Schizosaccharomyces pombe: one gene and its partner. The protein of the gene in region 1 interacts with the protein of each later gene in a biochemical or structural test. Each region holds a gene or a part of one and is shown on either strand. Other genes may lie near its edges. The genes, in order: hhp1 and rec8.

The links.
Region 2: of the proteins of hhp1 (region 1) and rec8, one has a biochemical effect on the other in vitro, tested with the Schizosaccharomyces pombe proteins (one study listed by BioGRID).

What each region holds. Positions count from the first base shown.
Region 1 is NC_003423.3:1,853,852-1,858,660, reverse strand, and holds hhp1 (serine/threonine protein kinase (CK1 family) Hhp1), read left to right. Parts: upstream 1-1,750; 5' UTR 1,751-1,852; coding exon 1,853-2,743; intron 2,744-2,865; coding exon 2,866-3,072; 3' UTR 3,073-3,988; downstream 3,989-4,809. Other genes in the region: mug176 (BRCT domain protein), read left to right, coding at 1-898; lvs1 (beige protein 1), read left to right, coding at 4,398-4,809. UniProt on the Schizosaccharomyces pombe protein: Involved in DNA repair. Has a probable role in repairing alkylated DNA and may regulate the activity of protein(s) involved in double strand break repair caused by gamma rays.
Region 2 is NC_003423.3:2,566,893-2,571,493, forward strand, and holds rec8 (meiotic cohesin complex kleisin subunit Rec8), read left to right. Parts: upstream 1-2,045; coding exon 2,046-2,101; intron 2,102-2,110; exon of another isoform or gene 2,111-2,144; coding exon 2,145-2,332; exon of another isoform or gene 2,333-2,384; coding exon 2,385-2,481; exon of another isoform or gene 2,482-2,533; coding exon 2,534-3,783; exon of another isoform or gene 3,784-3,823; coding exon 3,824-3,918; 3' UTR 3,919-4,101; downstream 4,102-4,601. Other genes in the region: oxidative stress transcription coactivator/ribosome recycling protein Oxs1, read left to right, coding at 1-75, 184-273; atp7 (F0-ATPase subunit D), read left to right, coding at 809-1,336; origin recognition complex subunit Orc1, read left to right, coding at 4,270-4,601. UniProt on the Schizosaccharomyces pombe protein: Involved primarily in the early steps of meiotic recombination. Required to ensure reductional chromosome segregation.

The DNA of each region.
Region 1 (4,809 bases):
AAAAGACTACTCCCCGAACGAGGGATTGTTTCAAACCGACATGAATGAGAAAAATCCTCATGATTTATGGAACCCAACGGTTCCCATGGCTTACCTTTCTCGATCTTTACAAGGCCTTACCATTTCAAAAATTAATGAAACAGAACAAAAATTCCCTTTGAGCTCTGTCCATGCTTACGTTGAAATCGGAGAAGGTATGTTTTCAATGGAAATCGTTACTGAACAATTGCGTCTATTGGGCGCAACTGTTCATGCGTCTTTACAAATGACCGAGGAAAATCCCGTTTCTCACGCAGTACTCTACGACTGCTCACAAGAAACTCTCAAGAAAATTAGTTCTGCTCAAGTCCCAATCGTTTGTGTATCTCCTAAATGGGTTTTGGCTTGTTACTCATCTAAGTATTTAGTCGACGAGGAAATGTACTTAGTTGATCCTCAAGATATACTGCAAACTAAATGTTTACAGACTGATGACTCGGAGTTGCTGAATCCTCTTGATCCTTTCACTGACACGCAAATGATTCAGGACCCTTCTGATGCCTTCTTTTTCGATACTCAAGCAGAAAATTTAGAACCATTCGTTAATGGGTCTCCTGATTCTCATTGTTTTAATGCCGACTCATTCTTGGATCAAACTTTGTCCGATGATTATGAGTTTGGTCTCATTACTTGCAGTGATTCTAATGAGTCATCTATGTCCAATGACGCTCAACGAGAAAATAATCCAGAAACCATTTCTCAAATATCGCTATCTCCAACGGCTGATCTATTTTCGTCTTTCAAAATTACGACGGATTTAGAGATGACTCATTTAGAGTCTGCCAAAAAGAAGTATCTAGCTTACAAACCGTTAATTGGCTCTCCACTAAAAAAGAAGGTTAGTCTTATAGATTTCTAAGTGCCTTGTCTTTCTATTTCATTACTCTCTTTCATTTACAAGTTTAATTCCGCACTGCTCATTGTACATATTGTTAGATCAGTGTTTTGCGTGTTTTTCCCCTTTCTTTTATCCTGCCCATTGTCAGTTTATTTTATTTTATTTTATTCTATTCGCTCAGTCGTCACAATCCTGACCCAAATTATTTATAATCTCAATGGAGAATTAGTCAACTCTTATTTAGAACAGAAAAATGCCTTGCATTTTTCGCTTTTCTTATGTAAAGAACTACAATATTAAATTTCCGAAAAAGGTTTTCTTATTGTTTTAAAATGTTCTTTCATTTTATTTTTTCGCACTCCAATATTCGGTTGGAGGTCTTTTTCGCTTCAACTGGAAAGACAGTGTATCTTACAGCTTTTATTTTCGTCTGAGAACCCGAATTTTCTCTATCTTTTTAGATCATTCGTTTACTGGGGCTCAAATATTATTAGATTTTGTATATAGATTACAAGGAAGAGTCTGTTATAAAGGACACATTTTATTAGCCTTTTATTCTTAGTGTTAATAAACCATACCTTACATTTTACATTTTTCAGTAAATGGTAATTGATAAAATAGAAACCAAGAAAAGCATCACGCTCCCATTCTAAAAATAGATATTGGATGTACGAATGTATGTAGGTATGTTTTATTTACATTCATCGTAAACTATCAATATTCGCAAATTCACTATCTATTATAATTTAATCGCATAGCGAATTTTTTTTGTATTATAATTTATTATCGTTATTTTGATAAAGCAATGCTAACTCTCGTTATGTTTACTTTAAGTTCTTTACTTCTACGTTACCTAACTTGCTCTACTTTTTCGAACCCCTACTTTTACCTCAACCACATCATTCAATTTCAATCTATAGTATATTGGAGAGAAAAAGCGAGTGCCTTTAGCCTTAAAAGCGTTATAATATTATTATGGCTTTGGACCTCCGGATTGGGAACAAGTATCGCATTGGTCGTAAAATTGGCAGTGGATCTTTCGGAGACATTTATCTTGGGACTAATGTCGTTTCTGGTGAAGAGGTCGCTATCAAGCTAGAATCAACTCGTGCTAAACACCCTCAATTGGAGTATGAATACAGAGTTTATCGCATTTTGTCAGGAGGGGTCGGAATCCCGTTTGTTCGTTGGTTCGGTGTAGAATGTGATTACAACGCTATGGTGATGGATTTATTGGGTCCTTCGTTGGAAGACTTGTTTAATTTTTGCAATCGAAAGTTTTCTTTGAAAACAGTTCTTCTCCTTGCGGACCAGCTCATTTCTCGAATTGAATTCATTCATTCAAAATCTTTTCTTCATCGTGATATTAAGCCTGATAACTTTTTAATGGGAATAGGTAAAAGAGGAAATCAAGTTAACATAATTGATTTCGGATTGGCTAAGAAGTATCGTGATCACAAAACTCACCTGCACATTCCTTATCGCGAGAACAAGAATCTTACAGGTACTGCACGCTATGCTAGCATCAATACTCATTTAGGTATTGAACAATCCCGCCGTGATGACCTCGAATCTTTAGGTTATGTGCTCGTCTACTTTTGTCGTGGTAGCCTGCCTTGGCAGGGATTGAAGGCTACCACGAAAAAGCAAAAGTATGAAAAGATTATGGAGAAGAAGATCTCTACGCCTACAGAGGTCTTATGTCGGGGATTCCCTCAGGAGTTCTCAATTTATCTCAATTACACGAGATCTTTACGTTTCGATGACAAACCTGATTACGCCTACCTTCGCAAGCTTTTCCGAGATCTTTTTTGTCGGCAATCTTATGAGTTTGACTATATGTTTGATTGGACCTTGAAGAGAAAGGTATGAGATATCTTGGTAATAGTGCTTTTTTTATTTTCTGGGTTTCCGAGTTATTGAAAACCAATGTAATATGATATTTTATGAAGTTTACATAGTCACATTTACTAACATTTAAATTGTAGACTCAACAAGACCAACAACATCAGCAGCAATTACAGCAACAACTGTCTGCAACTCCTCAAGCTATTAATCCGCCGCCAGAGAGGTCTTCATTTAGAAATTATCAAAAACAAAACTTTGATGAAAAAGGCGGAGACATTAATACAACCGTTCCTGTTATAAATGATCCATCTGCAACCGGAGCTCAATATATCAACAGACCTAATTGATTAGCCTTTCATATTATTATTATATAGCATGGGCACATTATTTTTATATTTTCTTCTCATCTGGAGTCTTCCAATACTTGCCTTTTATCCTCCAGACGTCCTTTAATTTTGTTGATAGCGCAGGGCTTTTTCCTTGGGATGGCGAAAGTTACTTTGCTTATAGTTTATTGAGGGTTCATAGCTTATTTGGCTGAAGATCTTGTGTTGACTTAAATTCTATGCTAACCTCATGATCATATCCTCATTATGGCAAGTTTTGGTGAAAAATTTTTTAATATTAGTACATTTGCTAATAATACATTTGGTATTTGTTTTTACTACCTGTGAATCTATTCATACATTATCATATATGTTTCGAGCCAGGAACAGAAAAAAGTGAGAGAATTTTCTGCAGAAATGATCATAATTTTATCTTCGCTTAACACGAATCCTGGTGACAGATTATGCGTGGTTTAAAGCCTTTTTTTTACGACGCCATAAGCAAATTGGTTACTTTTTTATGTGTGATGAGCCTTGGGGTTTAATCTAATTAGAAGGCATTGCATTCATATACTTTTAATAATATATTATCAGCTATTTGCTGCTTTTCTTTATAGATACCGTCTTTTCCAAGCTGAACTCATTTAATCAGCGTCGTTTAACCTTAGGATGCTTAAGATGCGTTTAAATTCAATGACTTAATGCTCGAGGGATGAATGGTTTGTTTTAGTTCGTGTTCTGGGTGCATGATCTCGTGCTTGACTGTTTTATTGAAGCGTTCATTTCATGAAGTGTCTTTCGATGTTGTTCACACTTCTGTTTGCTAAATATAATAAATATTTTGCTTTTCATTTTAGTTTGTAAACATACTTGAAAAAACTAGAAAGGTGTTGTTTGTAAGTTTTTGAATTATCAATAAGATGAATTTAGAATGATGACACCTACTTCAAAATCAACAAGCATAAATGAAATAGAAATAAATTGTCTTTACTTACTATCTATTTGGTGTAGTTCTCTTCTACAGCAAGTTTTCATAGTTCACTTCGTTTGGCAAGAAATCATTATCACCGCTATACTTCACCGCCAACCACTACGAACTATTATTGCCAGTTTCAATAACGATAAATTTAAGCAAGCATCAATTTTCATTAATTTCATCGATTATATATATTAATCGTTTTCTTTTTTAAAACCATTTCTCTCTGCTTCAACTCACATGACCTATTCATAATATACACTCACTTGACCAGAGTTTATCGAAATAAATACGAAACTTGTGCACCAGGGGCTAGGAACGAATATTTTTGTTAGGTTCTTTCTTCTATCTTTTATTCAAGTAAGCTGCTATGGACAGAAAGGCGAATGCCTATTCTAAAAGCGTTGAGTTGTTATCGAGGCTTGAGGGTTGTCCCTCAGAAAAAGTTCTGTTAGAAGAGTTACGAAAATTGAGGGGGTTCATTCGAAATGATATTCCCAGTAATTTTTTTCCACAACTCTTTATTACTGACAATGGCTTTGCAGCCATTAAGAAGGCTGTCACTAAGCTAAACTTTCAATCGTTACTAAGTCTTGATATTTTTGAATGCTGCTTGCAAATATTAGGAATTGCAACTTCTTATACTATCTTGCGTTCTTGGTTACTATCCAGAAAACATATTGAGGCATGGATTGAGCTCGCTATTCGAAGAATGTTTTATTCATTCTGTGCTATACAGGATGATTCCAATATTTCCATTTATGCAATAGGTACTTCTTCCA
Region 2 (4,601 bases), 710 kb from region 1:
GGCCTCCGTTTAAACCAATATGAAGACATAATGTATAAAGAATTTCAGAAACATCCGGACAATCCTTTCAATAAGGTAAGAAGCGATAAGGGTACATGCATACTCTTTTTGATGATGACCATATCATGTATAAACCCTAAACAGGAAAACCATTGTAAATATCATTTTTACTAACAATTTCAGATGAATGTGAGCTATAACACTAGTCAAGATGAGGTTGAACAGCTTCGTAAAGCTCGTAAAGCAGAATTGGAAGCACGTTTACGCGAGTAACTATAGTTATGGCAATATGTTTAGAACTTTTCTTTTTCCTTTTTACTATGGTAATTCTTTTATATTATTTATAAATTATCAATAAACCAATTACTAAATAATTTTTCTCGACATTCAAAAATGAAATCTTAAATTAAACATGAGAAGTACAAAGTGATTTGGTGATACACCGGTAAATCAAAATTTACAGCTAACTTTGAATTTCTATTAGCACAAGAATGAGTGGAGCGTATACTAATTGTAGGGCACAAGTTCTATTCTAACCGCTTAATTTTTTTTTTTGTAGTAATTTTGTACTTGTTGCTTTCATTTACCCAATTATATGATATTTTTTGAACCATTAAGGAAGCCTACTGCTGAAAGCCAAACCACCTGGCAATATGGCTCTGGCAATGCTAAATCATCCGTTCCCCAACTACCCCCATCTCTTCAACACATAACCAAAAGCAGGAAATATTTATAAGACAGTTAAATTGTTTAACAATATAACTGTTATTTTATTGAATTTTGAATTTTTTCTTCTTTATTTACGCAAATGTCGAAAGTTGCTAGCGCTGCTGGAAAGGCGATTGATTGGGCTAGTGTAGCTAGCAAGCTGAAGCTTGATGCCGCAACTGCTTCTGCTATTGCTAATTTTCGCTCTCGTCATGCTCAGGCAGTTGCCAAATTGGGTACATTGCGAGAGCAGGCTACCACAGTCGACTTTGCTACCTATCGTAGTGTTTTAGCCAACAAGGAGATTGTAAATCGTATTGAGTCTTCTATGAAATCTTTTAAACCTGTGAAGATTGATTTAAATTCGCAACTCAAAGCGATCAATGCATTTGAAGCAAAAGCTAGCGAGGGTGCTAAGAAGAATGTCGAACTTGTCAAAGCTGAATTACAGAATTTGAGTGCTACATTGAAGAACATTGAACAAGCTAGGCCTACTGAAGAAATTACCATTGAGGATATGAAACAAGCAGTTCCCGAAATTGAGAAGATTGTTGAAACAATGGTTACCAAGGGCAAATGGGTCATCCCAGGCTACCGTGAAAAGTTTGGTGATTTGAGTATTATGTAGTTTGCTCCATTAATGAAACATTTTATAACTAGCAATCATATGTGTTATCAATACAAATAAATGTCAGTTGAAAGATAGATAAAATTTCGGTATTTATGAATGGTTTCAAGCAGTATGTTGAAATGTTTAACCATTATTATTAAAATTCTTTTATTGAGTTTCAAACTTCTTAGTACAACTTGAATGACTTTATTTAACCTATTATACAAACATCGTTCACAGCATAATAGTGCGTTAAAAATTTCCACGATCTTTTAATAAGCTATGTCAACTTACGTTAAGTTTTGTTATATTCGTATAATCTCTATTCGATCTAGTGGCACAATAATGAAATTGCTTGTACAATATTAACTATGGATACCTTGGTAGGAGAGCTCAAGATTGAAAGGGCACTAAAATCACATATCTTAGCTCAATTATTAATCATTAGCTTCCATTACATTGTGTTTTGACTCAATCAAAGTAATGATATTTAAATATTCAATCCTTACTTAGATTTTAATAAGACAATATATATTAGCAATGGAGACTTCACTGCAGTATACGTTGGATAACATGTGCCGAGCTGTTAAGTATTCGTTAATAACGATTTTATGTGAGATTAGCTCATATGGTTTAACAATGCGGTATTTCTATGCTTGAACTTCAAATATAATTTTGACGCGTTTAATAAGCTATCTGGTGAACTAACGCGTTCCTGTCTTTCACCATGTTTTACAATCAAGATGTTCTTACAAAGGAAAAGGGAGGAATGGGAGTAATTTGGTATAGATTTACTACAAGATAATAATAAAGCTAATAATTATAGGCTCGCTGCTACATTGGGTTCAAAACATTCATTACGCAAGCTTCACAAGAAAGACATTATGTCGGTAGATATCGATGAAGCTTGCGATTTTGTTGCCTTTTCTCCAGAACCGTTGGCACTACGATTAAGTAGTAATTTAATGATTGGTGTAACGCGTGTATGGGCCCATCAATACTCATTTTTCCATTGTATGTGATGACAGTAGTTTAGGCTGGCAATTTTCTTACTAATTATGCTTAGCCCAAGTTTCAACTCTTCATTTACGTGTTCGAAAAGAATTGGACCATTTCACTTCAAAACCGTTTAAGAATATCGATATTCAGAATGAACAAACGAAGTACGAGTACTATTGGATAATATGACAGATATTCAAATTGCTAACCTTTTAGCCCAAAGCAGTTACTACTCGCAGAAGATCCTGCATTTATCCCTGAAGTTAGTCTCTACGATGCATTTAATCTACCTTCTGTGGATCTACATGTTGACATGAGTTCTTTCACTCAACCCAAGGAAAATCCCAATATTTCAGTTCTTGAAACTCTTCCAGATTCTACTTCTTATTTGATCAATACCAGCCAAAATTATAGTTTACGAAACAATGTTTCGAGCTTTGTTTACGAGGACTCCAGAGCTTTCTCTACAGAAGAGCCCCTTGACTTTGAGTTTGATGAAAACGGGGATATCCAGGAATTGACCAAGGGCACTATAAATTCGGATCCGTCGCTACAAGCTGCTTCACAACATAGCAATCTTGGTTCCGTTCAAAGAGAATACAATAGTGAAGAACAAGAATCAAGGATTCACATGTTCGAAATCGATGAGGACGTTTTACCGTTACCCGTTCCATTGCAATCTGTTATGGATTCAGAGCATAATGAAAATGAACCGCGAGCTTTAAAAAGAAGAAAGGTCCAAAAACTGCTGGAGCCAGATGAAAACATAGAACTGTCTACTCGAACTTTGTCCCAATGGAGAAAGAATTATGTTGAACGAATGATTGCTTTGGAAGCAACAAAGTATGTTCGTCGTAGAGGAGCTTCTTCGGCAAAGAAGAAAGAATTGAACAAATTCTTTGATTGGGAATCTTTCCATCCTCTTTTAAAACCATGGATTGAAAAGCTCAAACCATCAAACAATACTCCCTCTGAAATTGACGATGTATTGAGGAACATTGATACTTCTGAAGTTGAAGTTGGACGGGATGTTCAGGGTGAATTAGGTTTAAACATACCTTGGAATACTTCATCTCGATCAAACAGTGCCATAAATTCTAAAAGCCATTCTCAAACTGGTAGTGAGCATTCCACCCCCTTGCTTGACACTAAATATAGGAAGCGCTTGCCGCATAGCCCATCGATGCCGAGTAGGGTAGAATTTCTTCCTGCCTTAGAATCAAGTCAATTTCATGAAACTCTGAACTCAGAACTTTCATTACAACTCTCTGATGACTTCGTACTATACAAAAATACTCAAGAAGAAAATGCACATTTAATGTTGAGCATGGAAAAAGAATGCGCAAACTTTTATGAGTATGCAAAAACGGCTATCTATGAAAATAATGGGCGCATAACATTTTCAAGCTTATTACCCAATGATTTAAAACGACCTGTAGTGGCCCAGGCATTTAGCCATTTACTGTGTAAGTATCACAATCAAACCACGAACTAACAAAACAATAGCACTAGCAACTAAGTCTGCATTTTTAGTTAAACAGGATAAACCATACTCTGAAATTAGTGTCTCTTTAAACCTAAAAAGCACCGATGCCATTTGAAACTTTTCACATGTTAAACTTAAAATTTTTAAAACGTTGAATTTGGGAATTAAACCCTTTGTTGAAGTTGTCAAAATAATTGACTATGTAATAACATTTAAATAGTATAGTATAACACTTTTCTTAGATTAATGAATGATAATGCTAGCGGATAAATAATTAAAATTAATTAACTACTTACCAAATTTATCTAATTATTATATCTTAAAATTGTGGTATATTATTTGTTGGCTGTTGTACATAGCATGACAGTAGCCTCTATAGTATACGAGTCTTGTTAGTCCAGCACTACAACTCAGGATAACTTTGACCATTGCAATGTTGATAAACTAGTGTTGAACTTCTCTTAATATGCCTAGAAGAAAGTCATTGAGGAGTCAACTATTAATTAACGGCATTGATAAAAGTCTGCTATCTGATGACAGCGCTGACAGTTCTGATATTGACGAAGAGGAAGTTTACGGTGTTTGGACTGAAGAGCCCTTTCAAAAAGAGGCTGGACGTTCTTATTACAGATCTTTAAAGAAAAACGATGTAATATATCGCGTTGGAGATGATATTACTGTACATGATGGAGACTCAAGCTTTTATCTGGGGGTAATTTGTAAATTGTACGAAAAAGCAATTGATAAGCATTCTGGAAAGAAATATGTTGAAGCAATTTGGTATAGTCGAGCTTATGC